Linked DNA regions of Nothobranchius furzeri. The protein of the gene in region 5 interacts with the protein of the main gene of each other region in a biochemical or structural test. Links are inferred from orthologs where the notes say so. Each region holds a gene or a part of one and is shown on either strand. Other genes may lie near its edges.

Region 1 (5,354 bases), about 13 Mb from region 5:
TTGAACTTAAGAGATTCATTCTTCTTACTGCGACTTTAAGATCCCATCGGTGTTGCTTGGATCATGTGGTGCTGAGGTCTTTATCTCCTCCAAGTCCTGCACAGCTCTGCATTTAAAGCTGAGAAAACAAAAGAGCTCAGAGATGAAAATAAACCAACCGGCACCACTTTCTGGAGTTTTAAATGATCCTAGAAAGACCTGTTCATTCTGGGTTTCCTTGTTTTCTTCTTCTTCTTCTTGTGCTCCTTATCATGCCTCCTCCTATATCTGAAATCAAAGTCCTCCTCATCTTCTTCTGAGCTTGTTTCCTCATTAAGCTTTTCTGACTTACGGAGTTGCCATCTCCTTTGTCTTCTACAACATCCTCCTTCAGTCAGAGTGGCAGCATCTCTACAGGATGCAGATTGCTCCTTGTGAAGAGGTGGAGGAGGTGAGTTTGTTTGAGTACTGAGGAAGGGCGAAGGAGAGCCTTGCGAAGCCTGGTTAGGGATAATTTAGGGAAAATAATCAGTTTGAAGAAGTTTTTAACACATTTTGTGGCAGAAAGGCTGAAAACATGTTTTTCGCCTTTGAGGAGATCGGAGGTGTTCCTCTCTTGGACCTTCTCTTCTGAGCTTGCTCCTGGAGGAAGATGTTGTATTCTTTTTTCCTCTCTTCTCGTAGTCTGCCCTGTGAGAGAGTCACACATGTAACTAAATTTTTAAAATGTGCATGTGCACACAAAACATGCACACACACCTTTATTGATGCTCTCTCGTTGATGGGTAAGGAAAGACCCTGGTGCTCCAGCACCTGGGGCTCACAATTTCTGAAATTATATATCTAGAAGAAGAACAGTGCGGATGATGAAATGGTAAAAAAAAAAAAAGATGGTGACTCTAAAGCTGTTTTAAGATTTCTTTACATTTTTGAGTACATCACCAGACCTTAGCAACACAATCTTTGTTGTCCAGTTGCAGCTCCTGTAGATGTTTCTGCTTGTTTTTTTCATAATCACTTCCCAGCCGCAAACTCATGTCCAAACCTGACAAATAAAATACTTTAAAACACTAAAACCCCACCCCCCAAAAAATGCTCTGCGTTACCTCTGTCTGGGTGCGATGCAGGCGCTGTTGATGCTGGACTCATACTAAAGTCTCATTTACTGAACATCATTATTCCTTGGTTGGAAAAGAAATCCACACAGCAAAATTACTGATTTGTTCATTACCTGAGGTGATTTGAAAGTATAGATGTTTACTCACCCAGCTGCTGCGTGGCATTTTAAGGTGACTTTTCTGTGTTTTGCTCCTTTAAGATCTTCCCATCTTACCATTGACCTACATAAGTATATCAGAAGTATAGAAGGTCCAAATTATTCTAAACTTGCAACCATGGAAGGAAAGACGCTAATATGTTTTATCCGCATCTAAAACCCAAACAAACGCTCATCCGGAAGCACTGCACAAAGTGCGTTGCTAGGGGCAACCATGACACAAAAGATAACCCCAGGAGGCTAACTAACGCTGCTAATACAAAATTGTAAACAAATGTGTCACGCATATAGTCTGAAATTAATTTAGAATTTATTATTTTACTTTTTTACACCCGTGAACACGTTTTATTTAAACCGCAAGTTTACTCACAGCTAAGCTAATAGTAAATATTTTTAGGAGCTGGTTTATATTTAATACATTTCCTGAAATATTTAACAGTAGTTCGGGTTATTTTAATTAATGAACTGACGCAGTTTCTAAAGAAGCGTGAAGAAAAAAAGGGTGTCAGAAACAAACCTGCACATACAAAATCCGCCGCTAGATGTCAGTGCGTCATTAAGTGACTCAACAATAGACCTAACTCTCTGTGGGTGAAACCATCTCTCAGAGGGGTGTTTACACTTACACAAACTGTAACTAAATACCTAAAATCCGCTTTGTTACATATTTAATTTCCACACATGATACAGTATCAATCTTGAAATTATGTACAATGTTTTAAAATGTTCAAGAAAGGATTCAGTTTAAATATTGCAACCAAAGGAAACGTCAAACCTGGGAATTGGTATTGTTCACTGTCATGGCTTCCTGAGCGAGCGGTTGTTGGGGCCTAAATCATCTACGCTGAAATATCGCTTTTCTTCGTTCATTTGACTGGGAATTTAAGGGCTTAAATACTGTTTTTTATTATTATAATTATTTTAGCCCGATTAAATCATGATGACCGGCAACAGCACGGCTCAGAAAACATGGGAGCTGTCTAACAGAATGCAGGAAGTCCAGAGCATCGATGAAATTTACAAATATGACAAAAAGCAACAACAAGAAATCCTCGCTGCGAAGCCATGGACAAAGGAGTGGGTTAAATACGGAAACGAATGATGAATTTTCAAACACTTAGTCTTCTGTTGTGATATTTAGGTGTACTTAAAGCAATAGTTCGTTTTTTAGTTATGCCTCTTGTTTGTTTATTAACTGTGCTTCTTCTAACTCCCTCAGTCACCACTACTTCAAATACTGCAAGATCTCAGCTCTGGCCCTGTTAAAGATGGTGATGCACGCCAGGTCTGGTGGAAACCTGGAGGTGATGGGTCTCATGCTGGGAAAGGTGGATGGAGAAACCATGATCATCATGGACAGCTTTGCTCTGCCAGTGGAGGGGACAGAGACCAGAGTCAACGCGCAGGCTGCAGCTTATGAATACATGGCTGCCTACATAGAAAATGCCAAACAGGTAAAATCAAAGCCTGCATGTTGCTTCCTGTGGCGATACACTTCATTTTACATGGGTATAGACATTTTAGAATATTTTTAATTGTGTTTTAACGATACAATGTTAGATTTACCTGTAGCTGTCTTTATGGATCCACATGCAATCAGACGAGAATAAGCAAAGAACACACATGCAGTGGTGCTCTCAGAAAGGTTTTAATGGGGGGCCAGTGAAAATTTTGGGGCAGCACACCCCATTAGTGGAGTTTATCCTGTTGCCATTGAATGCTCCTTCACCTAAAATCTGTTAGTTTCGTTGACAAAATAGTTTTAGGGTTGTTATTTTTGTGACAAATTAATTTTTGTGAACAAAAACTAAAATGTATTACTTCTATAAAGACTAAATTATGACTAACATTGATTGACGCATTACTTGATGAATAAGATGACAACAAAATTTGACTGTAACTAGGGCTGCAACAACAAATCGATAAAAATCGATGAAGAACTGCATTGGCAAGCATGGCCAAAAATGTATTTGGAATTCAGTAGTTTTATAAAACAGGTAACATAAAAACTCAAGCAGGTAACTTTCAGAATGTTCCTTTGGGGCGTTTTAAAGCATCTACCACACACACACAGACACACACACACACACATTCATAATAACCATGTGCCATTGTTATTTAGGGTGGTCGCTTTCTTTTATCTGACTAGAAATAAATTTACAGGAAGTTGTTAGTGACATTTAAAGAGCAAGTCACCCCTTACAAGAAGCGTACTTCACTCCCACTTCATGTTTGAAAAATGCAACAAATGCTGTTGCCTAGCAGACCGAGAGGGTGGAGCCACTAACAAATACACACACTCATGACATTGTGACATCATAATGTACCAGTTTACATCATAGCATACCTCTTAGCCAATAGCGGTGGCAGATTTAAATTCAAATGCAGTGCAGAGTTTTTACCTGACAACGGCACAACACTGACAGTTTCAGGCAGAAAATTTAAATTTTTACTAAAATGCACTAAAGTGCAAAACTATTGACTACACGTGTCTACAACACGATTAGACAAGCATTTATATAGTTTATCAGGAAAAAATAATTGATTTGGGGGTGACTTGCTCTTTAACCTTTATTCTTTTTTATTTAAAAAGAATAACAACAATTAATTATTTATAATGACATTTTTATCATAACTCGACTAATTCCCAGGAATCTATCGAAGGCAACAGGCGTGTGTAAATTAAAAATGTTTTTCTAATAAACAAGTTGGCTCCTTTGTTTAATTAGCAATGGACCGATATGAAATTTTTGGGCCGATACCGATAATAATAATATCACTGTTATGGCCGATAACCAAACGTCGATACCGATATACTGAAATTAATGCTTCTGAAATCAGCAGAATTTGTATAGTCTGAAAATTATTAAAGCTGAATTTATGTTATTATGTACACACAACACACACATTTATGCTTCTGAGATGATTACAACCACTGTCACATGACTAAACAAACACACATCATCCCCCTCACCCTCTGAAACAGATAAACAAGTGGAAACAAGATGGAAAAAATATCAGTTGTTAATATTGGCCTGGTTTTATTTATCGGACGATAACGATATGTTAAAAAATGACTAACATCGGCTGATATTGATGCCAATATGTTGTGCATCCCTAATGTCAACAATTAGATTTAAAACAATATTACTGCTTATTTCTATTTGTATTTGGCAGAATGTTAATTATGAGTGTGAGTGCAATTGTACAGAAGCTCTACGATGCACATTACAAATGCATTGTGTTGGAGTTGGAGCTGGGTGCTGAATTGCTCTGTGTTTTTGCCGTGGTGAATTTCATGCTGGAGTAATAAAACAAAACGTGTGCATCAACTGTTTCTACTACTCCACTAGGGTGTGATAAATGATTTATTTTTCCCTTTTTCCATCGTTTTGAACCGTTTTTTAGGATAAATCTGTTGTTTCTCTAGAAATAATCTTCAGTTTGAAACAGTTTGGAGTATTATATTAACTAGTAGGGAAGCAGTCCTTTTATAAAAATGTTTGTGTCGTATTAAATCTGTACCATCGGTCTCATCTGGTAGGTTGGTCGGTTGGAGAACGCCATTGGCTGGTACCACAGTCACCCCGGCTACGGATGCTGGCTCTCCGGCATAGACGTCAGCACTCAGATGCTCAACCAGCAGTTTCAGGAACCTTTTGTTGCAGTTGTGGTGAGGCAGGAAACGCCACTTTTTTGTTTCTTCAAACAAATAAACATGAATGTTTATGTCACTGAGAAGATGTATGAGTTGTAGCTTTCTGTGTTGTGTTGATGCAAACATGGACACTTCATTTGGTGCAGCGGCTCTTGGCTGCCAGCGGCATCACATAATTAAGTGTGTGTGTTCTGTGCTGTGACAGCTCCGGTGGTCAGGTTTGAGTGGTCCCCGGAGGCTTTCGTGACCTCTGACCCTGTTTTCCTGCTCTACTGTATCTCTCTCTCCACAGATCGACCCAACCCGGACTATTTCCGCAGGGAAAGTCAACCTCGGTGCCTTTAGAACATACCCAAAGGTAGAGGAAAAGAGTCGGGCAAATTATGTGTTTAACGTTTTTGGGACACAAAACACGGGTGTGCTGTTACAATAAGTTTCAAT
Region 2 (5,072 bases), on a different chromosome or scaffold from region 5:
CCAAGATAAAAACCCAGCAGAGATCAATTTCATGTTTTAGTAAGAATGTTCATATGAGGAGCTGACTCAGCAGACTCCAGCAGACGGGACGGCCCTCCATTGCCACGAGTCTCTCATGACGTTGGGAAACAGTCCACCAATTTAAAAAATAAAAATAAAAAGACAAAAAGCTTTCAAAGAAGTTCTGGCATGCATGAGAACTTTGAACATACTGTCCATGAAAACTCCTCCATGTCCTGCCAATCAAAGACAGAAACTGTAAAATATGGGACACTTGCAGTCCTTTGTCCATCTTGAAGTCTGTAAAAGTTTCCACCACGAGGCGGACAACCAGTGAGACACCCCCAGTTACAATTAGAGAAATACAGCTATGCAAAACAGGTGAAGTGATGGTTTAAGAGTTTGCACCAGTTCAGTGATCATGAAACCCAACCAAAAATATTTCATACTAAAACCAGGACTGGATTTTGTGAGCAAAGTAAGCTTCAGTGTGATGAAAAGTTCTCGAAGTTGGAAAAAAAAATTGGTGGCTGTGCTGGTGCAAAAGTGACCACAGTCTGACCCTCTCGCAACGAGGCATCAGTTTTAACCTCTGAGGCTGAAGGAAAAAAGCTCTTGTACTGATTTAGAAGGAAGCTTCCAATCTCTCTTGGTTGCAAACCAAGAATATCTGGCAACCCAGGAAGAGTTAAAGGATGAGCATTCGTCAGCTAGGTTGGGTTTTCTGACAACAAGAATGTCACGACTCCTCATTGCCCGAGTCATCCTCGTCATAGCAACAGTCGCCGTCTCCCCCCTCCACGTCATCGTCTTCATAGTAATAGTCATAGAAGAGGTCAGAGCCTTCGTCTGGCGGCGGGGCGCGTGTACGAACGCAGTATTCAGCTAGCGTGGTGGGCACCTTCACGCCATCTCGCTCTGCTTCTGCCTTTGTGGCCAGCACCTGTTTCCTGAAGGGATTTGTTTTATGAAGACTGAATTACTTTTGTGTGGATGGTGTGGCTTTGAAAATCTTTTAGAAATATTTGAGGTTTGTCTTAAATAACATTACACTAATGTTTACCTGATGATCTCTACATATTCCCGGTCCTTGCCTTTGCTGTCTCTCCATTTCCGGTACATGACAGAGGCGTCCACGTTGGCAGGGGAGAAGGTGTTGGGTTCATTTAGCAGCGAGATCACGCTCAGCAAAATGGTCCTAGAAGCAAAAAACAAAGGCAACTTAGTATAGAACCATAAGAAAACGACTTTAGGTGAATTAAAAAGTTTTAAACACATAAAAAATATTTTAATGTCACAAGCCTAAATTACTTATTTCATCTACTATTTTATTAGAATAAACAATGAAGCACATATTACATTAGGAACTTAAAGCTAATTGATAAAACATGTATTAAAAAAACCTGTCAGACCCATGTGCTACCACCCTACCAGAATCAGAATCAGAATAGGTTTATTGCCATTTTCAGTGAACAAACAATTCACAAACTAGGAACTTGCTTCGGCACTAATGTGCTACATATAACATGAATAATAAGATTAAAAATAGAATAAAATAGAATAAAATATAATAATTAAAAAAACTAGAATAAAACTTTCAGCTAAAATGGCAGGTAATGGTAACATGGCCGATAACGTGACGTTGTGTCGAGTACAGAAGACCAGCATGGTTGTGTGTTTATAATCTATTCACAAGTCTAACGGCAGATGGAAAGAAGCTGTTCTTATGGCAGGAGGTTCTGGTCCGGATGGACCGTAACCTCCTGCCTGAGGGAAGCGGCTCAAAAAGTCTGTGACCCGGGTGCGAAGGGTCAGCTGTTATCCGGCCTGCACGCCCCCGAGTTCTGGAGACGTACAGGTCCTGGAGAGATGGAGGGCTGCAGCCAATCACCTTCTCAGCAGAGCGCACAATGCGCACTGACAAGCCTTTACATTACATTTATAAAACGTAGCATTGTGAGTAAGGTTTTAGTGAGTCGTTATGGGAAACAGAAAGAAGCTGCTTCTGTTTGTGGCCAAAGGAACAGCCTTTGTGACAGACTTCCTGATCTACAGATCTAATGTGTCTGCAGCAAAAATGCAAATGAGGAAATTAGGTTAGGTTAACGGTATACCACCTGCAACAACAAAAACATAAGAGCTGCACTGCATCAAGTGACCGAAACCACCAGAGCTTACATCTTTGTAACACTGCTGAAGTTGTGTGATTTCGACTACTACAGATCACAGGTTTAATATCACTTGTGAGTGTGACATCGTTGTGGTGGCTTTTACATAGATAGTTTCTTGTTGAATAGAAATCTGGCTCTCAGTTACAGAAAAAGATCAAAGATACATTTTTTTGTGCACAGATTGCATAATGTGAGCCTGACAAATAACCTCAGAAGGAAGTTTATAATAAATAAAGATGCATTTTCTCCCTCTTCTGCAGCAAAATGCTGTCAAACTCATGCGATACACTTATTGTGAGTCACAATGAATTAAGGTACTCAAAGTATGTTTTTCATAGAAATAAACCAACAAAATCTTAGTTTGCATAGTATGATATTATCCAAAGATCAATTTAATTTTGTTTGTAAATAAGAGGAAGATGCAGATCTAGCTTTACTGCTGGCTGCTGCAGCCGGTGAAGAAGATGCTGCTGATAATGAATGTCATAAGATAAGAGTCTGCGCTGGGTGAACCATTGAAGTGATTGCAAAGTGGACAAAGATGGAAGGAGACCAGAAAGGAGAAACGTATAGAGAGAATATGATTAGAAAGAGAAATGCTAACCGAACATTCTGGGTTGGATTCCATCTCTCTGATGGGAGCTCTCCGCTCTGCGGGTCATCCACTGGAGGGTGCAGTATAGAAATACACACATCTCCATTCTACAAGAGGGGAAACAAATACATTCCATCATCAGATGCATTCATTCAAATTAAATACACTGTTATGAGTACACACACGTCAATATTTAACCTCATAGATGTTGGGATGCCACATTTTGGTTAGGAAGCGGAAAGCAGGAGGGGAGTAAGGATAATCTGTAGGAAACTTGATCCTTGCCTAGGGGGGAAAATGGGGACATCTTGTTATTTTTTAAACTACGGTCATTTCTTATATGTCATCTGATTTTAATTACAACCTTACCTTGAAATATCCCCCTTCATAATGAGTGTTTGGTGGACCAAAAATGGCGACTTCCCAGTTGTATAAATCAGCCTCGTCCACCAGAGTGATTTTAAATCCCTCCACAGGCTCTTCCTGGAGGCTCTTCATTTCCAACATGAGAGCTTTCTGCGAACTAGCTACATGAGAAGGGTCGTGTTGCGCCATAATGATTTATGAAGCTTTCAGGATTATCTGGAGGCGACAGCTTTTGTTTACACGGCTAAGCTAGCCAAGCCAGCAAACAGCACAACTTCTCCTTTTTCGATGTTCGGAGGCAAAGAAAACAGGCCGACCGCGCGTAAAAGCAAAACAAAGACTGCGGTTGGTCTGTTCCCAAATTAAACGTTATTAATGTCAAAACTCAGTAATGTTATAAACGAGAAACACATTGTGTCTGAGAGGCTCAACAGCTTTGGCTGATTTACCTGGCAGAGCAGCAGCTGATATAAGCCTTAAATCTACTGTTAGCTAAGGAAAGCTAACAAGCTCCGTCTAATTGACCAGCTGGAGCGACGTAATTACCGCAAAAACACAAAATAACTACATAAAATGGCAATTTGAAAAGACAAACGCAAAAAGTCATGTGACACTACGCCAAACTATACCTCCAGTAACCATAATTGTTTAGCCCTCATAGAAAGCTGCGAAAGGAAATGTGTTGCTGAAAGAGTCCCCTGGTAAAAACAGGTAATGGCGCCCTGTTGTTGGCTGGGACTGGTAGTCTTTCATTCCGCGTTTGTTAGATTAAAAAAACGTGAAACCAAAATAACTGAAAACCCTGGTATAATATAATTCCTGTTCTTTTTATTTATGATGTTTTTATTTTTATTTTAAATGCCCAAAAAGAAAAATAAGTTTGTTTGTGCTTGCATTTTCCTGTTAAACTGTTTAAATACGGTAGCGGTTACTATGGACGAAATATCTATGACATCAATAATAGTATTTTATCACCGACATAACTAAATTGTAAGAAAAACAATCCTGCGTTCATTTGTGGCTAATTTGTAGTTTATTAAGTGGCTGTGACGTTTTAATCTGCGCCAGTGCTCAGGAAAGCCCATTTAGGCTAGCTTTTCTTTGCCTTACTAAATACATTTGGATTTTTTATAAAAGAAATCTGACACGTAATTTTTTCTGTCATAGCACACGTTAGAGTATGCGAACATTAAACATAGACATATGTTTTTATTAGTGCGATTGTAAACGTTATTATAATCAACAGTGTTTCGTCAATGCCTCCTATTTACGCGACAGACTGCATTTAGGGCCCCGAAAAGAAGAAAGTTCGTGATGGGTTCGAAAACACGGCGTAGGTCTCGTTCCAGGTCCATAAGTCGGGGCAGAGATCACCGAAACAAGTCCAGAGTAAACAGGTCGCGATCTCCAGATGAGAGGAGAGGTCGCAACAGGTCTCCGAGCCCGAAAAGGACCACACTGGGTCGAGGCAGATCCAGCAGCGAGGCTTCGAGCGATGGCTCTCGGGCCCGACCTCAACATAGGGGCCGATCAGGGTCCAGGAGTGAATCGGAGGGGGACAGATGTCGAAGAGCGCCGCGCCACAGCAGCAAATCAAAGGATCGTGCATCGAGGTAATTTTAACACAATATGTTACAGTACGATAAAAGGTTGTGTCTGTTAGTTAAGCTTCACTCGTCCAACTTGAGATTCACACATTAACTTGTTTTTGACTCACGCAGCGCAAAAAATGAAGAAAGTCGCCACAGTCAAAATATATTTTTGTTTGTGATCTATTATTCAGAATAGAGAGTCGCTTGAGATTGGCAGATTTTCATCATCTTTCCTCCAATAAGTCATATTTATAGGTGGTGGGTGGGTGTAACCCACAGGTGGTTATTGCGACAGGTGTTTTTAAACACTATATTTACAGTAAATGTCTGCATGTAACTGTTTAGAAG
Region 3 (5,442 bases), on a different chromosome or scaffold from region 5:
AAAGTTGAGAGAAGCAAGACCCAACACTCTGGATGAGCTTAAGGCTGCTATCGAATCATCCTGGGCCTCCATAAAGCTTGGTTTATGCTTGACGCATTCACTTTCTGCGCGGTGATGCGGCTCGCGGCTGGAACGTGCTTCACAACTCGCAGTGTTTATGGTTTGTGCGGCTCGTCTCTGCGGTGAGACAATATTCTCCCATACTGAACGGGGCAGCATGGAGCTCTACAGCATGCATCCAACACTACACCATAGTAGAAGTAGAAATCACTGTTTACAACATGGCATTTCAGCATTTTTAACAGCGTCCTCGTCTTTTCCGACAGTGCGAGCTATTTCTCTCCAAGAATTATTAACAACATGTTGATCATGGTGATCTTTGAGAGCTGAATCATACAAATGTCTGTATTTACCAACCTCTGCCGTACTAGTTCTTGCCGGTCCGCCATGTTTTTCCGCGTCCGACCGTCCGCGTGGTTAGAAATTTTCCGAGGTGCGCGTTGCGGAAATTCTGGGCCGTGCGGAGGCGCGGTGGAGGGGCGTGGTTGTTAAAATGACGCAAAATGACGCAACTTTTCCGTGCGGACCTCGCGGACGCGTCAAGCATAAACCAACCTTAACAGGTGCCACGCCGCATTGAAGCAGTCATTTCTGCAAAAGGATTCCCGACCAAGTATTGAGTGCATAACTGAACATAATTATTTGAAGGTTGACTTTTTTGTATTAAAAACACTTTTCTTTTATTGGTCGGATGAAAAATGCTAATTTCTTTGAGATAGGAATTTTGGGTTTTCATGAGCTGTACGCCAAAATCATCAATATTAGAAACATTAAAAGGCTTGAACTACTTCAGTTGTGTGTAATGAATCTAATATATATATGAAAGTCTAATGTTTATCAGTACATCACAGAAAATAATGAACTTTATCACAATATGCTAATTTTTTGAGAAGGACCTATATATAATGAGCCAGAATTGTTACAGTCTCTTGTAACACACAGGGCTTGTCTTCAGCTCCTGCAGGGTGGGTGTTAAAGAGAGCAGAGTAAAAATCTGTGTTATGAGGGATATGAATGATGTACAGATCAATTTCATTCCATCCACCCACACAGCTTTGTAGGTGATGTCTCATCAGACTGTGTGCAGTCCGTGAATGTAGGTAGTTACTGTTTAAGCTAGTTGAACAAGCTAATTACTTGGGTCATATCCCTTGAAGCCATGTCAGCATTTTGTGTAATCCTTTGACTGATGTGATGATGGGAGCCAACAGAAAAGTGTTTCTACAGTTTACATTTAGGTTAGAGCTAAACCTGATGCCTCATGTCTTGTTGTTGCTGAGATTATTGTTGCAGCATGTGAAAATAATGAGGGAAGTGCTTTAGAAATATGTCGCTAATGAAGTCTGGGATCGTTTAAAACAAACCTGCTTTTTCATAAAGGGAGAGTTTCCAAAGCCCTGTTTGTTGCATGTTTTGATTGTTTAACTAACTTTTATCAGTAAAACTCTAAAAAATTGATACGTAACTTTGCACCCAGACACAACAAATCCTGTGATCATTTTTTTAAAATCAGAAAGACATTCCATTAACATTTTTCAGACTGAATGCTCAACAATGCTTCATATATTTTATATTCTCATAGATGTGGTTGTAATTCATGAGTAAAACCAGATCAATCACTTTTTGTTTTTACTTGCAAACATCAATTTGGTAGTTTGTTTAATCTGTAAATGCATCATTTTCTTTCCACTAACCTAATTACTAAAACAGACATGGTTACCACACACACACACACACACACACATGATGTGATGACTTCATGCATTATATCATAAAAGAGCAGCTGATGACAATTTCACTTACAGACACTCCGTCAGATGGCATTGTCTTTCAGTTCTGCTCCATCATTGTGACCTTGAGATCAGCAACGCTGCAAAGACACATTATATTGTCATCATAAGCAGAAAGCAATAGCTCTTCATTCCCAAATCTGCAGGGACTATTTTTGTCAATACAAAGAGAAAGTCAAAACTCTCCTCTTGCAAAATAATTATTGGACAGTTTTAAAATACCCTAAAATGACAGTTAGAAGTCATTGTGCAATATTTACACAGTGGGGTAATCTTTCTGTGTCTCCACTTGAAGGGTTTCTGTACAACTCTTTGCTTCCACAAAGAAAGAGTCTCACATGTTATAATGAAACATAATTCACAATGCTTAATGCAAAATACACAGCTTTGATTTTTAAACCCAAACTCAACTCTGTTCAGATCATTGATAAAGTCACTAGTCATACATTAATAAGAAGAGTCAGGCTTCAGGGGCAAATTGCCAGTACAGATCAATGTCCTGGACATGTAGAGGCACGTCTCCCACACTTCTAACTTGGCCAACTTCAAGTCTCTGACATCAGATGGATGTCTAAAGGCCCCCTTTTCCACAATAAACAGGCATCACCGTGTAACACATCCAGACGTCAATTTAACTGGATTAGCTGGTCTTAAAAACTGTCCGAGGCGAAGAGCAGCCCAGATATTAAATTGTAATATCTGCAGCTATGTTGTCACCGAGCACGAGCTGCTGGGTTTAAAAACACACATCTGATAACGATGATCTGAATAAGTTATGCTTGTTGGAGACAGACAAGCTCTTGATCAGGATCAAGGGAGCTTAACAGCACATGTACAGCACTTCCAAATGAAATGTAAACACTGATTCAGTTTCTGTTTAATAGTCCGCTTAAACTGCTTAAAGTAGTCGGGCAATACTCGCTAATCGGTTACTGATCAACGATCCATCCTCGTCACCGGGCCATTTAAACATCCACATCTAAAGTGCCTGGCCCTGACCACGTCGACATAGCTAAAAGTTAGCTAGCGGCTATGCTAAGTCTTCTCCGGCTGACACAACGAGATAAATATCCTCAAAAAGCTTACCTTTTTAGGAAAACGTAGGCCGCGTCATTTGAATGTACATCACTTCATAAATGTCACTGAAAACAAAGGTGGGCAAATAAGTTGGCCGAAATACCAGCAGTAACGAACTGAGGCAAACTCGTCGTCAGATTGTTAGCAAACTAGCAGGCAGCTGACCAAAAGAAAAAAAAAGAAAAAACTTCCATAATAAAGTCGCACTCTATTCTACCTTTAGGGAATGATAAAATGATTAGCAGTCAGAGTTTGTATCGGAATTCATTTTTGTTGGTTCGCAGTTTAAAACAAGTTAAAGAGCCACTCTCGGACTAAGGCTGCCTATTTCTTTGTGCTTCCCCCTTTTAGTCATTGAACTACATTATGGACATTTTCCTGCATCACTTCCTCTGTCTGTGCTAACAGCCAACAGCTGATCTCCATCTGAGCGGGGGTGTCACACCGAATTCTGTCACCATAATAGTTTGGGACTTGACCGGGGAAGTCGAAAAATGTTTTTGTTTTGTTTTCCAGAGTAAAACACTGGATATGGAAAAACAGGAAACAGTTTGTACAGATTTATTTATGCGCTCATTTGCATTTTTAAAATGTAAAGACATGTGGTACAAGTGTATAAAAAACACATCTGCAAGCAGTTTTTTTATTTAATTTTTTAATTGGAGGGTAATTTTATTTGCATTGAGTAGCTTGGTTTAGATTTCACACACCCACACCAGTGGCGGCTGCTGAAAATAATTCTTGGTGGGGCTATGTGAAATATTTCCCTTCTTAGTCCACAATTATTAAAATGCACAGTTGAAAAATGACTACAACTGCGAAACAATCATTAATTTCCCTCCTTTAAATAAGCAGTTTTACAGATTAGATAGATTTTCAAATTTACAGCTAAAAAGACTATAATATCAATAATACTCAAATAAATGCACACGCCAATCATGTGAGCCTTTAAAAGCAACCACAGTCAATAATTTCCATTTCTGTTTTTATTTCCATTTTCTTTTGACAAGCTTGAGTTTTCAGTCTCCTATGTCCTATTTATCTCTCACCTGCTCATACAAAGCATGCACACCTCAAAGCGCAGCACTCAGTGCCACCAGTAGGTTTAACAGGACATAGAAACTGAATTACATATCCTGCTTTAAAGGCACATTTGGCAGTTTTGCTTTCTTTAGCACCCCCTAGTATTCGTTTCGTAGAACCAAAAGCAAAACACATCTCTTTGCTGTGCATTTGTCTTTTTAACACTTGAATCTTAATTGCTGAAAATCTCCCCAGCCTTCCTTTGTGTCTACATGAGCGATTTATCACTAAATCAAACAAATCAGCTGTGTTCATGATCTAAAACACGAAGGAAACAGGCTGGAAGCAGGCTGCAGCACCAAGTATGTCAGCTCTATTTTTTCTAAGCCCAACAGAGTAGACCGGCTTTCAATTCAACTTTGTTTTTCACCTTGTTAGTCATTTTCATTCCCACTCCTATTGCGTAATATTGTTTTTGAACGATTAAAAGTGCAGAGGACAAGAACTTACATTGAAAAAAGTGTGGGGGACACCCCCCATCCCAAAAAACAAACAAACAAAATTATAATAACAAAAACTACGTCCATTGTGTGTCATCAATGGAAACCTTTTGCCTCATTCACTTGGTGGGTCAGTAAGCTTAGAGAGCCAATTGTAATTTGAGGATTGAACTGCCTGAATGTCTTTTTGTTTATCATTTTAATAATGTGACCAACTCTGTGCGGTGCATATGTATGTAGTGGAGGCATAGTTACATCATTGAACAGGACTGACCCACACAATGACAACAAAGGTCTTCTGATTAAGAGAGTTGTCATAATTATTTCATCCATCCATTTTCTGAGCGCGCTTGTCGACGCGGGGTCGCGGGATGGGGGTGGGGTGGGGGGGCTGGTGCCTATCTCCGGCGGTCAATGGGCAATCATGCGGAGTACACCCTGGACAGAGAGCCAGTCCATCACAGGGCAACACAGAGACACACAGGGCAAACAATCATGCACACACACACACACACACACACACACACACACACACACACACACACACACACACACTCACACTCACACCTAGGGACAATTTAGACAGACCAATCAACCTAACAGTCATGTTTTTGGACTGTGGGAGGAAGCTGGGGTACCCGGAGAGAACCCACGCATGCACAGGCTGGGAAGCGAACCCAGGACCTTCTTGCTGCAAGGCGACAGCTCTAACCACTGCGTCACTGCGCAGCCCCATAATTATTTCATTTCACTTTATTTATAGAGTGCCTTCCACAACCCAGATAGACGTCCAAGGTGCTGCACACTACAATAACTGAACATGCAGAAACAGTATAAGATAAACAATAAAAATAGGTGTTAATGCAACAACATTACAGACAGAATCAAATACTAAACAAGTGGAACAGTAGCACCAGACTACTACAGCTATTGTTTAAAGCCTTGATATAAAAAATGTGCCTTCAAAAGTGTCTTAAGAATCGGCAACGATG
Region 4 (5,142 bases), on a different chromosome or scaffold from region 5:
GAACAAGTGAGTCTTCAGCTGCTTTTTAAAGGAGACCACTGAGTCCACTGATCTCAGGCTCAGGGGGAGAGAGGTCCAGAGTCTGGGGGCCACAGCAGCAGATGATCTGTCACCTTTGACCTTTAGCCTGGTGCTGCACAACCAGTAGGCTTTGGTCACTGGACCTCAGGGACCTGCTGGGGGTGTAGGGACTGAGAAGATCACCAATGTAAGATGGTGCTTGTCCATGTAAGGCCCTATAGACCAGAACCAGGATCTTGAAATGAACCCTGAAGTTGACTTAAGGGGACTTAAACCCCATAAGCAGGTTCAGGAAGGCCTCTACTACAGGTAAGATTGTAATTATTCATCAGAGATGAGAACTGTGGTATCAACAAGTCATCTCCATGCCGTGTTTTAGTTCTGCTCAGCAACTGAACTAGGTTCATTTACTGTGCTGATTGAAATCCCCTGGTTTAGTTGCTGAGTTGAAGAAAAACATAGCATGGAGATGACTTGTTGATGCCTCAATTCCCCATCTCTGTTATTTATATATAGAAACACATTCAAAATGGTCAAAATATTCCTTTAAAGGCCCCAAGAAGAAACAACATAATCAACAAGTAATACATCTTTCAAAAATAAAAAATAAAGGCAAAAAATGGGTTCAGCAAAAAGGTTTGACCAGACATGGTTCCTGGGACGGGCACAGTAATCAAGAGGGCCAGATGACCTGAAAGTCTCTCTGTAAGCAAGCACTAGTGGTGTGGTGATATTTTAGAATGGCCATAAGTAGCCAGGGATGTGTAATGGAGCAACTTTTGACCTTTAGGGTGTGTTGAATACCTGCAGTGGGTTTCGTGAGACCTGCTAGAACCCACTGAGGTAGCTATGATGAGACAACCACGAGTCGGGGACCATAGAACAGCAGCTGTTGCCAAGTTAACCGGATTCTCTTTACCTGCTTTTAGGACGTGAAAACAGATTGCGCTGCACATCAGATCTGTGTATATTTGTGTTTTAGGGATGCAAATTTGTTGAGTTATGTCAACAGATTTCAGATTGTAAAAGCATTAATGTGTATGCAAATGCTGACCGTATGTTGCTATGACTAAAATTCCTGTTTCAGTGTCACTGAGACAGTGTGATGGGCAGCCAAAGGAGGAAATAGAATAAACTAAGATCATGCAAATGGAACCAAACCAAAACCTTGTCCAGTAGTGAACAAGTCTAAATAAAATCTGCTCACGTTTTCAGGCTCCACTCCGATGTCCTCACAGAACTTCTCTATGCCCTCTGGACCCACCACATCGTCACAACCTAGGTGAGCCGAGCAGCATCACACAGCATTAACTCAGCTACAAACACAAAGATCAGTGACTAAACCAAAATGTGTGATGACTGCTCACCTGCATATTCATAAAACCACTCCAAACATCTTTTACTAGAAAACGTCTCCTCCTCCCGGATTTGCGATGTTTCATGTTTTCTGAAAACACTGTAGATAATGAGACGATGTCAGCCGTGAGCTAAGCAGCAAAACTACAGAAGCATATTTGTGTCCATGTTTATTTTAATAAGCCACAACAATCAAGTTTCCTGAAAACCCTCCTGTCACCTCTCTTGGCGACTTTTCTTGGCTGACATGTCATCTCCAGCAGAAGGTCTCCTCTTTTTCCTAGGTGGCATGGCTCTTGAGTAGCAAGCTGTCAAAATAATTCACAGCAGATCAGTATCAGCAGAACTAGCGTGCAAACTGCATGAAGAACAGAAAACACACGTAAGGATTTTACCTGACGGGTGGCTATCCTGTCCAACGTCTTCAGCCAGATTCTAACAAATAAAAGCATGTGAATAAAAAAAGAAACATTCACTTCACACAAATAATCAGCCTTCTGTTAGATAGTTACCAGCCTGTGTAAGGTGTGGTGAATCTTGTGGATGCTGGCCAGTGTAGTCAAATGAGAATTCAGCTGAAAATCTATCCACAAAAACATTTAAATGACATTTTAGAAAAATCCAAATAAGGCTTCATTTATAACTTAATACTCGACCTAATCATGTAAGGTTATGAAGAGGTGACGTCAACAACGCTAATAATGGAGACTTGAATCCTACGTTGCCTATGAACACAACATTACCATTTAACCCACACATATGATGTGTTTAGGGCTTTAAAATGGCAGAAAAAGACCCTCACGATTGACTCCCTGTGCTACTGAAAGGACAGGACTAAAACGCTAATATATTCGATTATGGCGGCTACCTTGTGAGTAAAAGCCGGGTGTGTGTTGCTGTTTAGTACAGAATTATCACTAGAGGCAAAACTCAGAGAAACGGCAGAGATAAACGAACGGATAGCACTAGCTGCATACCAAAAATAGCAGTAGACGAGCAACTTGCAGAGTTTACAAAGTATCCAGAGAGTCGGGCGTCTGGATGTTGTAGTTCTTTTCCTTTATAGTGGTCGTTAGAAGCTAAGCTTTGCTTGGGTTAATAAACTACAATACCCACGTCTCTACAAAACAACTCTTTCTTTCAGACTCATCTCCCCCCAACATGTACCTTTTCCGACTGAATACATTTTACATTGATTAATAAATGTAATGCGACATGGTCACTGACAGGAAAGCACTGTGGTGACGTTTTACAGAAGCTAACGTGGGCTATGAAAAAATTGCTAGCACTGTTGCAGCAAGCAACGAAAGATGTTTTACACAACTGCGTCACAATTTTCCTTCTCTCTTACAGTCCGCAGCTGACCCGAAAATTGGCCGAATCACGCCGAATTACAAGTTTGAGTTTAAATATTATGTGCGCCACGAGTAACGAGGAATAGGAACGCCACAACGCACCGACTGCAATCGAAAATCCTCTGAACTTAAGCAGCGTCGGTGGAATTTAACCTAAAACAGCAGCACAACCCGAAAATAATTACCAGAAATAAACTTATCGTGTCTCAGCAAACGTTTACAACTGAAAATAGCTATAATTACTGTAGCCATCCTTCCTTTGTTGTCGACCCAGACAGCACTGGCAAATACAAAGAGACTAGCAAATAAGACAGGATTCATGCGTTCCCATGAAACCTGACAGACACACGGGACAAAGGCGGATGTAGAAACACAACGCGTCCGTTTTTTCTGTCTGATACGCGCACCAACAACGAGAAAGGTCGCAATTTGATGCAGAAACGTTCTCACTTACTTGCCGCATCAGAGTGCATTTTTATGAAACATACAACTGTCTGTGGGAAGTCCGTAGACCGGCCAATAGGCGGGCCTTGTTAGCGTAAAGGACGCCCGTACGCAGTAACTGAAATTCGGCTTGAAGTCTCTGCCCTTGCTCGCTTTCTATTGGCTAATAAATATGTCCTTTCTGGAAGGGGCGGGAAAAACAGACAGGAGAACGCCTATTTACTAATCGGATTGGTCAGAGCTCCTCCAATGGGCCGTGCTACGTGTACGTCAATCACTAGAATTTCCTCGTGCAAGCCTAAAGCCGGCCCACGATGAGACCTGATTGGTCGTTCAGGTGTTCACTGTTTTATATGGGTTAGGTTGATAAGTGTTATGGTTAGTAAAATAATTAGTAATTCGTAGTTTTGTTTTGTTTTCCCACTAGGTTCACACTTACTTTCCTTATTCAAACAAAGTGAGCACACATGCAAATAAATTATATTGGATCACTAAAACAGATAATATGACATTTTGAAATATTTAAATCAACAATTTTTTTGGCCTATGTCGGCAAGCACAAAGGCTGAGAAGAAATGAGTTTTAATCTGTTTTCAGCGTGATCAAGCCCAACACCTGTACGTTAATGGTGTGTTCACCTTTGGATCTTCATGGTAAGATGGGTTAGGTAGTCACTGTTTGTTCAAGGCGATTGTATTGTTGTTATTAGCAGCTGATATGTTTTATTACCACATGGAAGATCATAAAAACTGGTCTAATACAGAGAAAATATGAGCAGCTTTCTCAACCAAAAAGTAGTTTCTCTAAAATTACTAGTGTTTCTATTTTGTTTTGTCTTTTAATTAACATCTTGCTATTAAAGTGACTTGTTTGTAATTTATGCTGAGTAACACACTGCCTGTTCAAAGAAAAGTCACCACCTGGATTTAATTAAAGCAAATAGACATGACCTGCTGGGCCTGACTCCAGTCTTTGACACTGTTGACCATCACCAGGTACTGAATAGGCTGAGAGACTGGTCTATCAGGATGTGCTCTGGAGTGGTTCTCCTCATATTTGTCTATTCCTTCTTTGTGGCTATCTCCAAGTTTAGGTCCTCCACCACCTTCTCCACACACGGTGTACCACAAGGTTCTGTGCTGGGGCCCCTACTGTTCCTCCTCTGTCTGCTTCCTCTTCAGCACATACTGAGCTTCTTCAAAGGAATCTCCTACCATCTTTACACAGATGACATCCAACTGTACATCTCCTTTAAGCCCCATGAGATGTCTAAGCTTGGTGCAGCAGTAGCTCATCAGGTAGAGCGGGTTGTCCAGTAAACTCCTGAAGACCCTGCTCTTCAGAGAGCATCTTCTTAACTAGCACCTTGCCTGCACCCGTCCCCCCTCTCTACTGTCCACTACTTGTTCCCTCCTCTCCATGACTGATGTTAATGTTGTTGTTGTTATTGTTATTGTTAGCCTCAAGGGCAAAATGCCGATTATCACTTGTATGTCGCTTTGGACAAAAGCGTCTGCTAAATACATAAACATAAACATAATCGGAAGGCTGCAGATTCGATCCCGGCTCCGGACAGAGAATGCTGCTGTTGTCTCCTTGGGCAAGACACTTAACCCACCTTGCCTGCTGGTGGTGATCGGAGGGACAGTTGGCGCCTGTGCTTGGCAGCCTCGCCTCGGTCAGTGCGCCCCAGGGCAGCTGTGGCTACATCGTAGCTCATCACCACCAGTGTGTTAATGTGTGTGTGTGAATGAATGATACACTGTAGTATAAAGCGTTTTGGAGTCCTTACTCTGAGAGGTGCTATACAAGTGCGGGTCATTTATCATTTATCATTAAGCTGCAGCTGTTACACACCTGCTTAGACCTGGATGGTGGGAGCTTTCTTCAGCTGAATGAAGATCAGACTGAGATCCTCATCTGTGCCCCAGACAAGCTGGTTCCCAAAGTCAGAGACTCTCTTGGT
Region 5 (4,389 bases):
GATTTTAACACTCAACCTTCTGATCTCGAGTCAGACGTGCCGCCGTAGTTCCATAAGACCATGCAAAATATAATTTAGATGACTAATAACAGGGACCGTTTGTGCGCATGCATCTTTAACCAGCAATAAGAGACATTTACTATTTGGTGATACTTCTCTGGTAATACGATAAAGGTCTTGCGAGAGCTGACGTCAGTAAAAAGGTATCTAATCAGCACCGTGGACAGCCGTCAACACAACACACATGGGAGCCACCTTCTATATTTGAACGTGCCTTGTGTTATAATATATCCATCGATAAATTCTTCATAGAAACTAATTAATTCAAAAGCTACAATATAAAGTAACAGATGTAATTTGGTGTCTAGTCTTGGTCCTTCAGGGCCACCGTCCTGCAGATATAATTAGTGAGTATTAATAATAATAATGAATAATGCATTGAACTTATATAGCGCTTTTCTAGACACTCAAAGATGCTTTCACACACTCTCACATTCACACACTGCTAGTGATGGAAAGCTACTTGTAGTACTACTTGTGCCATGGGGAGGTCTGACAGAGGCGAGGCTGCCATTTGGCGCCGTCGGCCCCTCTGACCACCACTAACACAGGCAAGTTGGATGAAGTGTCTTGCCCAGGGACACAACAGCAGGATACCCCTAGCGGGAGCTGGAATCGAACCCATGACCCTCCGATCATGAGGCAACCCGCTCTACCACCTGAGCTACTGCTGCCCTATTAGGCAGTATTTGAGCAGTTGAACAGGCGATTTATACATTCAGGTGTGTGGAGCAGGGAAAACACTAAAACATACTGGATACAGACCCTTTGGGACTATTATTAGACATCCCTGCTCTAAATGAACATGATGATGGCGTCACAAGCTAAAAGCTAAAGACTCCATCCTTATATAGACACATGACGAATACCTAAATAAAAGCCTTCAGTGTTTTTGATTTATTTGACAAGCAGCAAGATCATGTTTGTCACTCTTTCTTTACATTTTAAAGTAGATAACAATAGTCAATATAGCAGTTTTGTTACAATATTGTTCCTAATTCAGTACATTTAACAAAGAAAGTAACACACAACTGCAAACGTGAGAAAAGAAAGCATGTTTGTTTATTGTGTAGCCACCAACGAGTCATTGATGCCACAAGTAGTCCTGTCCCCATCCTGTGTCCCTGCCGGCAGATCGGCAGATCCGTCCTCTCCAGCTGCTTTAGGCATTTTCTTTAGACGCACAGGTGCGTGGCACTGGTGATGTTGTAAACAGTTTAAAATCAGAAAGTGGGAGGGGCTTGAAGAAGGGCCTTATGGGTGGAGGTGTCCGACGTGAAACCATGACATTAATCTTATCTGAGATGGAGGCACGAGTCCTGCTTTAGTCACCACAGAGAAACACAGCAGACAGTGACCGTCCTGAACCTAAATGGATAATTGGGATCGTGTGTTTGATCGTGGTTTTTGTCCTCAGTCAGTCTCATGAGTCTCTGTATGGAGCCTCCCCCCCCCTTACGCCACGTAGCTGTACTCGTCAGCGGAGGTCTGGCTTCGCTCGATGTACTGCTTGTCGATGAGCACCTCGATACACTTCTTAATCATGCTGATACTGGGGTTGAACCTGGCTTTGGACTGATTAATGACCTGTAAACACACGTTAATGCACAAACATGAATCTAATGCAGTTATTTCTTTCTATTATTTATTTAGGGAAACGACTAAAAACACTGATTTATGGTTTTGTCTACAGGAACAGCATCAGTTTCCAGGTAGGTTATAAAGAAGGGAGATAAGCGTGAGAATCGTCCCTTCCATCTTGTGTATGCGTTGTAGCCGTCAGCTGACAGGAGCTTTCACTGCTCATGTCCTCCAACATGATCAAACATCTCCCTCTAACATAACAGTTACCTCACCTCTACAGAATTTAAACTCAACTTTACAGGACCCATTCATTCCAACCCTCCATGAGCCGTGTTTTCCTCCACTACCTCATCTGTCAGGAGTTTCCACTCACCTCCTGGATGAGGGCGTTGTGTCGGAGCACCTTGCGGGCCTTCATTATTCTGACTATAGCAGCTTGTAAATACATTTTGCGGTCCTCGTCTACAGCGCTCCTCGTCTGCTCCATCTCCTGAACATCACAGACACGGGTTTGTTATTGTTGAGCCTGCTAAGGCCTTAAGTTAACAGACTGGTATAAACCAAACTGAAACAGATCACCCATCATCTGACCTGGGGGGTGTCTTTCTGCATGGAGGTGGTAATCTTGAACTTTGTCCTTTTACTGCTAAAACTCATGTTTAGTGAAAACGTGGACTCGGTTTCAATCTCCTCCTGTAGACAAAGAAAACAACGGTGAGCAGAGAGCAGGTCCTGCTGAGGATTTGATGCTGCATTCACTGACTCAGCACCTTTTGAGAGTCGTGGTTGAGAATCTTGACGTCCAGCAGGGACTTGATGGTCTTCTGAAGCTCCTTTTCGTTCATCTGGGTGCCATCCTGAAGCTCCTTGTACGTTACCGTCTCACTGTTGTTGAAGGCCAGCAGCACGGCCATCTGATAAGTTGTCACCATGGCGACGTAAGGCTTGGACAGGTAGTTCATCTTAACCTCACCTGTGAAGAGAAAAAACGTGTAAGATCAGCACTGAAAATACCAAGCTGAGGTGTGGACACGACTAGTTTGTGTGTGAGCTTAAAATGAATCAAAGAAAAAAAAGAGTGACTTCATTACAAGAAGTCTCAAGGCAAAAATCTGAATATTGTGTTTAATCCAAACTCGTGTGCTTAGCTGCCATGTCTCACTGCTGTCACATCTTCAATGAAGGTGTCTTGGATTTGCTGAACCTGAGATGGGTGGAGGAGCAGCAGACAAGATCTTTACTCAGCTGAGCTGAAAGCCAAAGCTCCCAGTTTATTGGTCTATCTTGGACATGAGATTTAAAGTAATGCTAAATAGTTTTAAAATGTTAAACTAGAGCTTTAACATTGATCTCAGTGATCGTCGGGTTAGAAAGTTGACCAGTTTCATATTTGACGCCAATGTGCAGCTCTCTGCTGGCCGGATACTGCACTTGACAGTTTTGTGGAGGGGTAGGTGTTCTAGGGGGTGCTCTTATACCTGCATTACGGCTGTTAGCAACTTTTTGTGCAGTTGGCTTTTTCAGTTTGTTGATCATCAATAAAAAGCACAAGAAAAATAAGAAGTTTGCTTTTCTGTTGGCATTGTGGCAGAGCGAGGAAGTAAAAGTAATAAAGTAATGCTAACAACCGTAATGCATGTGTAAGAGCACCCCCTAGAACACCTACTGGCTCGATAAAAATGTTAAGAGTGGTATCTGGCCAGCAGAGGGCTGCAGAGTGTTTCAAATACTAAACTGGTCAAGTTTTTTAACCCAACTATCACCGAGATCAATGTTAAAGCTCTAGTTTAAAGTTTAAGAAACTATTTAGTGTTACTATAAATCCTGACTGAAAGAACACCATACTGGCTACCAGGAGCTAAAGAGTAGGGTTGGGCATCGTTTGATTTTGAACGATTCCGATTCCAATTCCAATTCCTCATTTCGATTCCGGTTCCTATCGATTCCCAATTCCGATTCTTTCAAGACATGACATGCTTTACACGAGCCAGCTAATCACAGGTCCTACTGGATGAAATAATCTTAACTTCAACATGAATTTTAATTCTATGAACAACAACATCACCTTCATTTAGACAAAAACATGTTTTGGAGAAAAAAAGAAAAAGACTTGCAGCACAACCAGTGTGTTTGTTTCTGACCACAACCAAAGTCTGGAAGCAGCCTCTGGGATGAGAGGCTAAATGTCTCCAACATATCCAGAAACGTGCAGCTGTTTTCAGCTAAAACTCTCAGGATGATCATGTTCAGGATGACTGAGAACTACACCTCCATGCTGCAGCAGTCAGAACAGGAAGTGAAACTTAAATGTAGCTGCTGTCAGTAACAATTTAACAGATTTTAAACATTGAAACTCTCAACAGAGATAGTTCAAAAAGGAAATAAAAAATGTTTTATTATTATTATTATTATTATTATTATAATTATTTATTGTGGCAGAAGCTGGTGTGTTCCACCACAGAGAAGCTTCTCTAGCATGATGACTAATTATTCTACAGGTTATTGTTCAGCCTTCTGACGCTCACGAGTCTGACTGCTGACGCTCCGTGTGTGTTTTCATTTCTGCAGAGACAAACTCGCCTCACACCGTCCAGAGTTTGTTCTTTAAAGCTTCTAGTAAATCCACCATGTTGACGTATTTTAACAAGTTTCCTCTACGGCATATTTTCGCTACAGGAGTTAGTTTACATTACGGAGTAAAAGTCCGGCAGACGCGTTTGTTTAGATTTGGTCGCTGCGCGCCGG

Evidence for each region. The genes of interacting proteins can lie anywhere in the genome.
Region 1: of the proteins of cul2 (region 5) and cops5, one has a biochemical effect on the other in vitro, tested with the Homo sapiens proteins (3 studies listed by BioGRID). The link is inferred for Nothobranchius furzeri from reciprocal best matches to the Homo sapiens genes CUL2 and COPS5.
Region 2: the proteins of cul2 (region 5) and cdc34b form a complex in vitro, tested with the Homo sapiens proteins (2 studies listed by BioGRID). The link is inferred for Nothobranchius furzeri from reciprocal best matches to the Homo sapiens genes CUL2 and CDC34.
Region 3: of the proteins of cul2 (region 5) and dcun1d3, one has a biochemical effect on the other in vitro, tested with the Homo sapiens proteins (2 studies listed by BioGRID, with this or other methods). The link is inferred for Nothobranchius furzeri from reciprocal best matches to the Homo sapiens genes CUL2 and DCUN1D3.
Region 4: of the proteins of cul2 (region 5) and dcun1d4, one has a biochemical effect on the other in vitro, tested with the Homo sapiens proteins (2 studies listed by BioGRID, with this or other methods). The link is inferred for Nothobranchius furzeri from reciprocal best matches to the Homo sapiens genes CUL2 and DCUN1D4.

What each region holds. Positions count from the first base shown.
Region 1 is NC_091747.1:51,741,657-51,747,010, reverse strand, and holds the start of cops5 (COP9 signalosome complex subunit 5), read left to right. Parts: upstream 1-2,033; 5' UTR 2,034-2,192; coding exon 2,193-2,332; intron 2,333-2,474; coding exon 2,475-2,709; intron 2,710-4,799; coding exon 4,800-4,928; intron 4,929-5,205; coding exon 5,206-5,271; intron 5,272-5,354. Other genes in the region: centrosome and spindle pole-associated protein 1, read right to left, coding at 29-118, 199-479, 568-669, 739-822, 927-1,024, 1,086-1,128. UniProt on the Homo sapiens protein: Probable protease subunit of the COP9 signalosome complex (CSN), a complex involved in various cellular and developmental processes.
Region 2 is NC_091751.1:57,908,086-57,913,157, reverse strand, and holds the start of cdc34b (cell division cycle 34 homolog (S. cerevisiae) b), read right to left. Parts: upstream 3,322-5,072; coding exon 3,136-3,321; intron 3,052-3,135; coding exon 2,965-3,051; intron 2,874-2,964; coding exon 2,776-2,873; intron 1,199-2,775; coding exon 1,064-1,198; intron 951-1,063; coding exon 740-950; 3' UTR 1-739. Other genes in the region: splicing factor Cactin, read left to right, coding at 4,447-4,745. UniProt on the Homo sapiens protein: E2 ubiquitin-conjugating enzyme that accepts ubiquitin from an E1 ubiquitin-activating protein, and catalyzes its covalent attachment to other proteins by an E3 ubiquitin-protein ligase complex. In vitro catalyzes 'Lys-48'-linked polyubiquitination.
Region 3 is NC_091756.1:31,620,529-31,625,970, reverse strand, and holds the start of dcun1d3 (DCN1-like protein 3), read right to left. Parts: upstream 3,322-5,442; 5' UTR 2,937-3,321; intron 1,931-2,936; 5' UTR 1,864-1,930; intron 1-1,863. UniProt on the Homo sapiens protein: Contributes to the neddylation of all cullins by transferring NEDD8 from N-terminally acetylated NEDD8-conjugating E2s enzyme to different cullin C-terminal domain-RBX complexes and may play a role in the cell cycle progression by regulating the SCF ubiquitin E3 ligase complex, after UV damage.
Region 4 is NC_091748.1:39,454,015-39,459,156, reverse strand, and holds the start of dcun1d4 (DCN1-like protein 4), read right to left. Parts: upstream 3,322-5,142; 5' UTR 3,206-3,321; coding exon 3,187-3,205; intron 2,265-3,186; exon of another isoform or gene 2,246-2,264; intron 1,961-2,245; coding exon 1,890-1,960; intron 1,813-1,889; coding exon 1,773-1,812; intron 1,686-1,772; coding exon 1,598-1,685; intron 1,478-1,597; coding exon 1,389-1,477; intron 1,300-1,388; coding exon 1,229-1,299; intron 1-1,228. UniProt on the Homo sapiens protein: Contributes to the neddylation of all cullins by transferring NEDD8 from N-terminally acetylated NEDD8-conjugating E2s enzyme to different cullin C-terminal domain-RBX complexes which are necessary for the activation of cullin-RING E3 ubiquitin ligases (CRLs).
Region 5 is NC_091747.1:38,626,854-38,631,242, forward strand, and holds the end of cul2 (cullin-2), read right to left. Parts: intron 2,618-4,389; coding exon 2,415-2,617; intron 2,338-2,414; coding exon 2,236-2,337; intron 2,135-2,235; coding exon 2,018-2,134; intron 1,648-2,017; coding exon 1,516-1,647; 3' UTR 935-1,515; downstream 1-934.